Linked DNA regions of Lytechinus pictus. Each later gene encodes a partner of the first gene's protein in a complex. Links are inferred from orthologs where the notes say so. Each region holds a gene or a part of one and is shown on either strand. Other genes may lie near its edges.

What was found. The genes of interacting proteins can lie anywhere in the genome.
Region 2: ATP-dependent RNA helicase SUPV3L1, mitochondrial-like (region 1) and polyribonucleotide nucleotidyltransferase 1, mitochondrial-like share a complex: the UniProt entries of both Homo sapiens proteins name them as parts of the mitochondrial degradosome (mtEXO) complex. The link is inferred for Lytechinus pictus from reciprocal best matches to the Homo sapiens genes SUPV3L1 and PNPT1.

Annotation. Positions count from the first base shown.
Region 1 is NC_087256.1:1,235,762-1,241,784, reverse strand, and holds the start of ATP-dependent RNA helicase SUPV3L1, mitochondrial-like, read left to right. Parts: upstream 1-1,760; 5' UTR 1,761-2,032; coding exon 2,033-2,411; intron 2,412-3,050; coding exon 3,051-3,128; intron 3,129-4,121; coding exon 4,122-4,344; intron 4,345-6,023. UniProt on the Homo sapiens protein: Major helicase player in mitochondrial RNA metabolism. Component of the mitochondrial degradosome (mtEXO) complex, that degrades 3' overhang double-stranded RNA with a 3'-to-5' directionality in an ATP-dependent manner.
Region 2 is NC_087251.1:30,702,949-30,708,971, reverse strand, and holds the start of polyribonucleotide nucleotidyltransferase 1, mitochondrial-like, read right to left. Parts: upstream 3,111-6,023; 5' UTR 2,882-3,110; coding exon 2,736-2,881; intron 1,367-2,735; coding exon 1,306-1,366; intron 422-1,305; coding exon 347-421; intron 1-346. UniProt on the Homo sapiens protein: RNA-binding protein implicated in numerous RNA metabolic processes. Catalyzes the phosphorolysis of single-stranded polyribonucleotides processively in the 3'-to-5' direction. Mitochondrial intermembrane factor with RNA-processing exoribonulease activity.

The sequences.
Region 1 (6,023 bases):
AAAACAACATCAAGTTGATTTACATTGTAAGTAGATAGTGAAAAATCAAACAGGCATAATGCTTGCAATTTCGTCAAAATCAGTTAAAGTTTTGCTTGATTTTACAATATGTATATCAGGGGTGGAATACAAATAAGGAACAGTTGCTGTCTCGCATTAAGTGCATTTATTTCTTATAATGAAATATATTATTTTTCATGTGTTTCCTTCTTATATTTGTAAACCATGATTTGACTTTGACTCTATGGCTTGAACATGTTAAATGCCCCAGACTTAAATAATCAAGGGGGGGGGGCAAGCAGGCCTCCCCCAATCCATATTTTTCATTGTATGGAAAATGCTCTCTGTGAGTGATGATCATGTTGGGTTTTTTTTCCTCAAAACAGAAGGGGGGAATTGCCCCACCCCTGGTAATAATAATGATAATAATAATAGCGGTATATTTACCCAGGGTAGCCGCTTCAGTTCCGAAAACTGTTCTCCCAGCGGGCCCTGCTATTAAATTCTGGATCTGTCCATTCAATGACCTTTAATGTAACTTCTACAAATCATTCAAATGTTGTTTTTTTTGTGATCAAATCTACAAAACCTGAAATGGTCTGTATATCATTTAATAACTTAAAAACAAAATATTGAAAGTGTGACATCATCAACTCTCATTTATTTCACCTTTTAATCAATTCAAGCTGAATGGAATTGAGTTTGAGATTTCAGGTGCAGTAAACATATATGATTGTGTTACAAAAAATTTCCCTCTTATATTTGTAGATAATAATGTATGGTTTTAAGTGAGCAGTAATGTAGCTTATTTATTTATTTATTTGTTCTCTTCTGGGAACTAATGAAGATGTGAATTAGATGATAGTGTGAAAAGAAAATGATCAAGAATACAACATTTGAAGTGTTTAGCATGATTCTTTTTTTATTGCTTGAAAGTACCTGAAAAGGGGGTTGAAATGGTGAGGAAACCATCAGTGGAAAAGACACAGTGCAAATATTCATACTAGTAACTAAATGATAAGCACTGCATAAACAAAATAAAACAAAACGATACAATAACTGAGTGAGTTCAATTGTGTGTAGTATGCACTCATGCCACTTCTTACAACCAAGGAATTACACACAAACTTCACATTTCACGTAAGTGTATGAGGGGGAGGGAGGAAGAGAGAAGAGAGAGAGAGCATGAGAACGAACAAGGGAAAGAGAGAGATGTTAATAAAAGCAAAGAGAAAGTCGTGTTGCCTCTAAAGGAGGGGGGGGGGGTTCACCATAGCATAATGTTGGCTTTAATAAAAGCAAAATTTCATGTGATTTCATGAAAACGCATTAAAGAACAAATTGAGAAATATTCTAATTTTATTTTGTGATGTCACATGCTGGCAGCTCTCTGATTGTTGTGAGATATAAATTCCTTAAAAAGCAAAATTCTAAAAAAATTGAAAATTATTTTACCTGTTCTTTTAATATGCTATCAGACACAGATCCTTGCAATGAAAATATTTTCAATCATTTCAATATATAAAAATATAAAATTTATGGAGATTATACAAATATTCGCATATGGTATCACAAAAGTTCATGTCTCCAAAGTTATTTTTTGATAGATTTCTGTCAAACTTTCATTGAGTGTGTTTCTCTTATTTTTCTGCAACTTGATGTCAGAATGGAAGTGGGAATTCCCCTTCAATTTATTCACCATGCATTTCATTCTAAAATAAAACATTATGTTTGATATATTAAAAGTGCTAGGAAAGTGCAAACAAGGCAAAATGAAAATATGTTTTGTGTGCATGTAAATGTTGCTCTGAAATGAATGAAATAACTGCTCCAGAAGGGCAGAAACGCCCCACCCCCTCTCAAAAAAAGTTGTGGTGATTAAGATGGCCCTCTACGTTACAAACTTGTTAACAACATGTGTAACCTTAAATATTCCCGAGTGGAAATAAGTTCGGAGGAACTCAATTGAAATAGCAATTGGAGCAGGTATTTCATTTTTCCTTGATGTCAAATAGTATATATTTGTTTTATAATGTCTAGTAAATATGGTCGGCCATATTCCATTGTCAGGACATTTCGTTGTTTTTCTTGTGCACAACGAACACTTCCAGCAGTACCACGAACGATTTTAAACAGAACGTTGGACTCTCACCATGCCGCAACTCCGGGGTCAGGGATCCACTCCGTCCGTCGTCGATCATTTTTATTCGCGGCGAATTCGGGAGGAGCTTGTCGGGAGAGCGGGCGACCGGCGTTAACAACTTCTTCATCTGGGATCTGTCGGAGTTTTTCAGACAAGGATGACAAGAATGTTAGAGCATTGTTTATTCCTGTTCCTGTAAAACCTGCTAATAATCCAGATGACATAAACATCGGTGAAGAGCTTGGTGCAAATTTGAAGAACAAGAAAGGTATGAAAATCATGTTGAAAATAACTTGAGTATGTTAACAGGCCTGCCTATCGCCTATGCTTGTTATTTATATTTTCTACTTTAGGGGTCTATAGGCTTATTTCTAAATTATCATGATTATGATGTAATGCAATGTGGTGGCTATAAGGCTATATTTCTTGTAAGGAAAATGAAATAGAATGTAGTCACAAACATCTCAGATTCATTATTAATGAACGATCGATTGTGAATGTTTTGAAATTGTTTTTTTTGGTACTAACGGCTTAGATTTATTATACATTTCATAATGATCTCCCGTTCTCCAAAAAGAAACATAAAAGGACGCATTTTCTCAACCTCGTCGGAAAGGAAAATGAAAATTAATAGATGTCACGACGATCTCAAATTAATTGCACAATCTATCAGGAAATGTTTTAAAGTTACTTTGACTTTGAGACTGTTTAAATATTGCGCCAAGAGGTATTTCAAATTGCCACCGATCATACCGATACACGTATGATCGGCGTGAAACAGCCGATCAGCCTTGATTAGATCGTTATTGGCTGCCGATCCGAAGATCAGGTATGATCTAAATCAGTGATTTTTTATCCATGCATATTAATTTTATATTTGTTCTTTTATTTTTCAATTTCTTTACAGATGAATTGATGAAGATTCTCACAAAGTTTTCAAAAAGGCCAACTATCCAGAGGCTTGCCGAAGAAGAAGGATTAGATGGTAAGATGATCTCTTACGAATGGTCATATGTAGGCACAGCAGTGACAGCACCATGTATTGTAGTGGCACTTACAGAGGCACAACTGTCCTTACTATTTCTTAAGATGAAGGAAATAGAAGTGTATTGGTAACAAGAATGCTTGGACGTGCTACTGATATGAATTTGTTTCATCATTGTTTCATCATGAACCCCCCCCCAAAAAAAAAAAAATAAATAAAAAATACCCTGGAGCTGTCCTTCACCAAGTGGATAAATGTCTTTGGAAATGGCACTTGACTCCTGTCTGGATCATTGTAAATTATTTTCAGTCTTTGAGTCAATAGTCCTCTGGGAAGACGTTGATCTACATTACCTCCTTGTGCTTACCCAGCACAAATCAGCATAGTTTATTAGGGCCCGTATTCTCAAGTCGGGTTAAATCTAGAGTAAACTCTGGTTTAAAGTTGTGGATAAACTATGAATGACCAAGAGTGCAATAAATCTCAAACAGTATAATTTCAATGTATCAGCTCATTGTTCTCTCAAATCATTTTTAACAGTTTTGGAAGGATAAATAAATTTTGGGCTTTCCATAATTTTAGCACAGAGTTAAACCATGGTTGAAGTTAAACGTGGCTTCAGAATACAGGCCTAAGTGTTTGAGATACCATGGTGCTTTGAAATTACTCCCAAGTGAGTTACATATGTGCATTCATTGCGGGTAAGTTTCATTCTGGTCACCATTTCATTAAGCTTAGTCAGCACTGACAACTTGTCAATCTCTGATAGTTACTATAGTAACAATCAGATCAATGCTTCTTAGTCACTGGAAACCTGGATTTCACTAAAATTGTCACTGCTGATAATTTAGTCAGTTCTGAAAACTTTCATGACACACCCCTGATGATTAGGAAAATATGAAAAATGCTTTGATAAAGATGTACACAAAAGAGAAAAGAAAGAATGAAGAGCTTGATGTCCTGCTTATCTCATGTCTTGGTATCCTTTCTCAGATAACCTCTTTCATCAAAGTTTCATGAGCTTCAGGAAATACATCACAGAGGTGGAGTCTGTGGAGCCTGATCTGCATATTATTCTTAGTGACATTCTGGTAGGGGCGGGGCATATAGATGACATCTTTCCATACTTCATACGCCATGCCCGCCAGATCTTTCCTGCCCTGGATTGCATGGACGATCTGAAAAAGATCAGTGACCTCACAGACCCAGCCCAATGGTAAGTGTTGATCTGCATTTGCACCATTTTGTACCAGGATAGTATCCTGTGGGCAATAATTCAGAAAAACAATCAAAGATATACAAAAGATCTGTAATGTCGGAGTGGAGAGTTTACCAAACTTATCAACTACCAGTATTTAAAATAATCTTTAAGAAATGATGAAAAAGCTGCCATTTAAGATTGTAAATCATTTGAGATTAGCATGAAACAATGAAATTTTGAATGTTTACAAAGTTTAGGAGTCAAAAGTTCAGGAATGAAATGGAAAAGAGAGAGAGAGAGATATATATATATATTTGTAACTATACCTACATAGAATGTAGTATGGAATAGCTGAAGAAAAATAGAGAATATTAATGTTGTAACCCGCAAGTGAAAACCCGAACCGTACCGTCCCGTACAATCCATTAATTTGCAAGCGGGACCCGTTGACCCGTCCGGTTTTAACCCGCAAGTCAATTTATCTTGGAAAAATTAAAATTATTTCTGCAATCCCCACACTATGCAGGCTCAAATCAGGAAAATATATGCCAACTACTAACCTAGCCTAGAGTGAATTTACTTACAATTTGCAAATTCGCCTTTTATTCCGGAGAGAAAATGTTTTTTTTTGTTACTTTGTACCACGAAATGGGTCCGCTCTGATCTCGAAATTGAAAGCATTGCGCAATTAACTCCTCGGATCGGAGCCGCAGCTCAGCGCGCGCTAGCTAGCGCCCAGGCTGCCCAGCAAAGATCGGCAATGTTGTTTTTCAGTCCAGGACAGTCGACACGGCGACTCACAACAATCATAATTACAATATTCAATTCTATGGGACCTCGTCTGTAAAGTAATCAAAATTGAAATAAATACCTTGATAATGATCCAGTCAATTTTTTCTTCTCGTATATCTCGTTATTATTATTTCCTTCTGTTTTTGCATTTCATTCGATATGGCCGCTGAAATTCGATGTTCAGTTTCCCGTCGCCCGCCCGCGTTATGAAATTTGGACCGCGTTCAAAAATCAAATTCTGAAAATAATTCATTATTTTACTATTTTGACATACATGTAGATCTAGATTCAGAACTGATATAAAACATTAATATAAGCTTTTCAGTCACAATTACTTGTATATCATGTAAATACCTGTAAATTTTTTCTTGTTTTTTTCTTGTGAATGGAATGACACTGCATGCTCAACCATACCTCGAGCGATGTTCGTGCAGGCTCCACTCAACTTAACTTCCGCTCCACTACGCTGATACCCGATGTAGGGGTAGTGAAGTGGAGTGGAGCCTGCACGAACATCGCTCGAGGTTTGGTTAAGCTACCTCAATAAATCCCATAGTCTAATAACCTCGCATTGGTGAGTTGTCATACGGCATAGTAACATCCAAAAATACCTTTCTTATTTGCTAATTATAACTTAAAAATAATTTGTTTTATTTTTGCAGGGGATGAGGTAAATATCAGACAAAAAAAATCATCAAACAAAGCTCAATCTGTTTTACAAGGCCGAAGGGAGGCTCATGCACGTACGCATTGGCGCTTGCACTAGCTAGCCAGTCTGAGCTCTGTCTCTCTGCCAGAGCTCTGGGGGACAATTTGCTCTGTAAATGCCTCAATGATGGTGATTTTATGTTTCAGACAGAGTTTATATTTTGGGAATATTATTCAAAACTGCCAATAAAGTT
Region 2 (6,023 bases), on another chromosome or scaffold:
GTATTATCTGTATGTACTGAGCCTGGAATGTACTGGCAGCTCAAGCTAAAGCTGGGGAATAATAGTTATGTGTGTATCCTCTGGAAAATGTGCTAATTATAGCACGATTAGTTATTATTGATTGTTCACACTAGTTTGATAGCCAAATTCGACAACTTTCAATGAATTCCTAATCCTTTACACAATGGTAAATTAATGTCGCAATATCATGCAAACTGAATGCATGATATCACTTCAAACTGAATGCCATCATGACCAACAGCAATATCTACTTCCGTGAGTTTTTCATACTCTACCTAATATTCGAAACATTCCTGTATTTATCATTAAATCTTTATTTACTCACTGTCAATGGAAGAAAACCAGGAGACGATGAATTCTTCTTACTGACTGCGGTAACCATGACAGATGTATCCCCAATCTGAAATACAATAAATAAACAGGAATGCATAATTAATGTATGCATTAACTAGCATTGGAATATACAAATATTATAAATAATATAACAATAATAAAAAATCTACTCAGTTATGATTTATAAAAGATATATCAAAGGAGATTTTTCTTCAAATTAAAGTTATGATTTATAAAAGATATGTCAAAGGAGATTTTTCTTCAACAAATTTTACTGTGACTTTTACTTTTAACAAAAATATTTACATAAAGTCAAGATGCAAAATGAATATGGATAACTCTTTCACCGCAGGTACTTGATCCAAACTGAAACAAAAAAAGGTGTTATATAAAATGGTTTAGGCTAGATAGTTAAAATAACATAAAATTGTATATTCTCTCCAGTCTGAGAGAATAGAAAAGAAGAATGGATTATCCAATAACATTGTCAAAATAGATATTCAATCATACATATAGGAGACACCAAAATATTTTTTTTTTAAAGTCTTTTAAGAACCAAAGTGAGACTGAAGTAAATGCTAACCAGTAAATTAAAATAACCATTAAAAGACCAGATCATAAAACATTACACCATTTCAAATATTGGCCTTGATTTTCTGCATTTCAAAAGTACTTCCTATAGATATCTAGAAATATGAGACTCACCCATAAAACAAAAATAACTAGGCCTAAATGTTTATTTAATTTCCATTCAGAAGTATAAAAAAATGAAGAAAGCAAAACCTAAGCATAAAAATTCATTGAAAAAATAAATATCATGCTCAGTAATTGAAAATCAAATAGTAAAGCATGTGTTAAATATGCACTTTGAGCATTTAATAGTCTGGATATGGATTCATATAACTTAATTATATTAATACTTCATCATCTTAATCTATTCAGCTCACTTACCTGAGCAGTTGCACATCCATCAGCTAACTTTGCCAATTCCCCAGTAGACAGGATAAGAGGACTATAAAGTTAAAAAGAAGGGATCATAAATTATGCTATAATTTTGCTACAACACTCTATTTAAATAAAATATTAAAATACAGAAGTGTACTATAATTTGCACAAAATAGTAAGTTTCATATTTCAATTTTGAAAAGTTTAGAAGTTTTGGGCAAAACAACTTAGTTGCAGTCGTGTTCCTAAATGTATGCCATGGAGTACCTCAAGTGATGTTCATGCAGGCTCTACTCCACTTCCGCTACACTATGCTCCACCTACCAGTAGAGGCGCTGGTCCAAAAATTGGGATTGTCACAGAAAACAAGGATATCCTCATAAACCAAGACAAATCATGTCTTGATAAATTGAGACTGTCCTTGTTTATGGGGACTTTTTTTTTCACTTCCCCCTACGGGACAAAGACATCAATTAAGGGAATTGAGAGTGCTAAAAATAGATTCAGTGACCTCAATTCCCCCCAGTTCATCGTCTATTTTTCATGACTTACCGTCTTCCAATAATCTTGTTATGAAACCTGATATGTTTACATTGACTAGCCCACTTGATTGGTGTCGGTACTTGACAGGATTCTTGTGTGAAGAAATCTTTAAAAACTGAGACAGTCCCAGTAAACTGGGACGATCCCAATTTTCTGACCAGCGCCTCTACTGCCTACCCGAACATCGAGCCCCAAAACTCGCTCTGATAGTTACTCCGAGTGGCAAAAAAATGCATATTTAATGTAAAAATCCTACATCGATCGAAACTAGCTTAGCAAGGATATGAAGCTTAGTTTCTCACTTTTCATCCTAATTTCACTCCATATCCATCCTCCGCTTAGCCTCATAATTGGTGATTCAGAGCCAATATCGAGTTCCTCACACATATAAATAATTCGTTACCGATTTCAAAACTTCGCATGCGCACGCACGAGGGTCTGAGCTCGGATCCTCGCACATGCACAATTTTGTTGTTGTTGTAAAGACACTTACATCCGTGAAGATGGTTATAACATATTACTTTATGTTAGGAGGTCCTACTTAGTCTTGAGGACTCCATGATGATGTCTTTTAAAACAAATTGACATGATGGAGAAGTATGTCAAATTTGTTTTAAAAGACATCATCATGGAGTCCTCAAGACTAGGTCCTACTGAAAAAATGCAAATGTGATAAAAATAAAAACTGAAAATGTGAAATGAAAAACAAAAATTGAAACTTATTTTTTTTGGAGTAGGCCTAAACGTAAAACTAAAATGACAGATTAATTGTAGATTCTCCAACCACCATTCATAGAGTAAACATTGAAGTGCAGTAAGGTGTTTAAAGTGTTAAACATGCGTGTAGTCACCACTAAAAATGGTTGGTCATAAGTCAATGTGTGATTTTTTACCTCTGCCCAATTACTGCTTCCACACTGCCAGTTGATGTTGCATAGCCTGTGGCAAAATGCTTCAATCTTCTAGATTTTGTGGACCACTGGCAACGTGGTCGTGGAGTTCCTACAGCATATCGCATGTGTACTAATGCACGCCACATTTTTCCTGTCAATCAAATGATGATAATATAACTTCATATGGATTAAACGCAAAAAGAGCGAGAGCCGAGTGGGTCTCGATCTCTCAGTGAATCTTCGTGTCTATAAATTAATGATACCGGTACGATACACTCTTTCACTCGGGGAGCTGCCGGGGTAGTATTCACGAGATGCCGCTGATCATCCCGCATGCACGTACAGCAGGGCGAACAAATTATGACACGCTGCTCTATCCATTCGAGTATGGGAAGCCAAGTTGAATAAATTTGATAATTTTTTTAAAAATATATTTCCCGGGATATTTTCTTAGAACACTTCCGCCGTAAAATAAATTTGAACCATGTTCAGTAATAATTATGTAAAAATCATTTATTTCAATTTGTATCTCTGTGATGAAAGCAAAATAAACTCCATTTATGTTTCTTACAGGCCCTCTTTAATTTGTTTTCATGGGCGGACCGGCGGCCGCAAAAAAAAAAAGGAAAGGAGAATAAAAAAGAAGAAAGAAAGAAAAGATGATGGAAATTAAAGGGAATCGGGAACTTTGGAAGAATCGAAAAATAGCAAAGCATTCAGGTTATTAAACCCTGGGGACGTTTTCAGTAACCCACAAACTTTTTTGCTTTTTTAGTCCCCCCCCCCCCCCATTTCCTCATCTACTATATACTGTACATGAATTGTAGAATGCATTTGTCATCTATTGTATTTATATATGTATATTTTTAATGAATTGAAATGCATTTACATGTACGTACGTATCATCTTCATGAATTTCACAAGCATTCCCTAAAATTTCTTCGTTTCAATCTTTAAGAATTAAATATATGAAATATATAAAAATATACGCTAGTGCTCGCGCTCGCGTTATTTATCCAGGCCCCGTGAGATACAATATCTTTTTTTTTTAAATAATAAAGCCAATTTCTACTTAACAATTAATTCAATCTTTATTCAGTACCACCCACCCCCAAAACCCAACAACAACAAATCGGTTTAACAGCGGCAGATTGGAGAAACTGTTAATGAAAACAAGTTTGTCGCCCACTCCCTATTTGCCGCAAAAGCTGAATCCACCCCTGTAATAATTCTTAAATTTGAAACAGCAACCTTGATTAAATTAAATCTTAAAATCGTAATAAGCGATTAAGTTTTAAAAGCAATCTCCTGCCTGAATCATTTATAATTGGTTGGCAAAATCTCCCTGCTGTATCCAAAATGCAACTCGTAACAAAGGTCACGAATAACGAAAAAGGGTAGGCCTACTGCATTTATGGACTGCAAATCACGAAAATTCATAATGGTGCTAGACGGAAAGAGAGAGAGAAAAAAATCATCATCGAAAACGATAAGTAGGCTCACATACCGGTGGCGGATCCAGGCCCTGCGGGCCTCTCCCCATAGACCTTTTAATTAAGCCTGCTCTACTCCTTCTATTCTCATTGTCATATATCCATCCTCTCTTCTCCATTTCCTTTTTACTCTCTCCCATTTCCTTCTTTGATCCACCCCCCTCATCACTTCCCTTATTTTGTTTGCCTTTCCTTTTCCCTTTCTTCTTTACGCATTAATTTACTCTATTTTTTCCTCTTTATTTTCTTTCCTGTCTCCCTTTTACTTTTCTTTGATTTTTTTTATTGGTGTGTGCGTGGGGGGGGGGGGGCGGCAAGTTCACCTCGGACCCATGAATCCGCATCTGCCTGCTCCCCTCTTCCAATTCTCATTTTCTTACCCCACTAAATTCACACACCAACACACTCAATCTACACACCCACATACATTGCTCTGCTTCCCGCCTCATCTCTCATTCTTGTATCGTTTTCCCACTGTTCTATCTCTCTCTCCCACTCCCCCTCTCTCCCTCGCATGTGTCTCTTTTAGTATCTTCCTCTTATTTCTCTGTCTCTTTTTAAGTCCCCTCTCCTTTCTTTTATTGAGAGATACTTGGAAGGACCTTTAATGTTTTTAATATTTTTTTATTTAAAAAAATGTTACCATTTATTTATACCATCTAAAAAACTAATATACAAACTACCTGTACTTTATATTTCGTATCAGTTGATGTCAATATTGTGTTCTAAATATTGAAGGGAACTTAATTATTTTACAGGGCCACATGATCTACCCTTTCTTTCTTTTTAGGTTTTTACTTGTATGAATGTGTATTTTATAAAAGCAGGTATTTCATTTATATTGTAGTGACCTTGATACAGAGGAGGGGAAGTTGAAAGGGGGGAGCACAGGGGGAAAAGGGCACCTTTTCTTTCGAAAAGGGCACTATCTTAAAACAAAGAAAAGTGACTTATCTACAGAAGCATAATGGCCAAAATTTTGAGGGGGCTAGATATATCGTGTCACATAAAAAATTATAAGAAGTTGCGAGCGAAGCGAGCGAGCAATTTTTAAAAAACATTTTTATAGCGAAAATCTAATTTTGTGATAGATTTTGACAACAAATATTTATAAAATATCATATTTCACCCTTCTCTCTTTCCTTTTCTATTTTTTTCTTGGTCGTAAAAAATTTGGGGAAGGGGCAAGAGCCCCACATCTGTACGACTCTGCTTATCTACCCCACTGACATGACTCATGAAGCTTAAGGCACGTAGGATTATATTGTTACAAGTTTTGTAGTAACATACAAAAATGAGAATATTGTTTTCTTGTTTCAAAGGGGCACTCATTAAAATGTAAAAATGGGTCCTCATGTAAAAGGGGCACAGAACACATTCGTGTGCGGCATATTTCTTGGGTAAAAATGCGGACTGATACGAGATAGGGCACTTACAAGAAGGCAAAAGGGCACTTGCTCACACATTTTCCATGTTCTCCGTGTTCTCAAGATGAAAAATGTATAGTCCATGTTTTATGCTATTTTACCTATCTGATGTTTCGGCCTAATTATGGAAAGAAATTTGGGACAAAGGTATGTTGTGAATTATTAGAATATTTATAAAGTCACGATTAAAAATAAATCAAGCATCAATGAAATGGAAACTGCATATAGGCCTAATACTGACATACTCATCAGCGTGGTTTCTTAAATTTTAATAAAGTTTGAGTTTATCATATTCTATTTTGATTTGCATATTAATTTCAAATATTTGCATGTGATTTATATACCTTTGTTTTTTTCATGTTTCAATT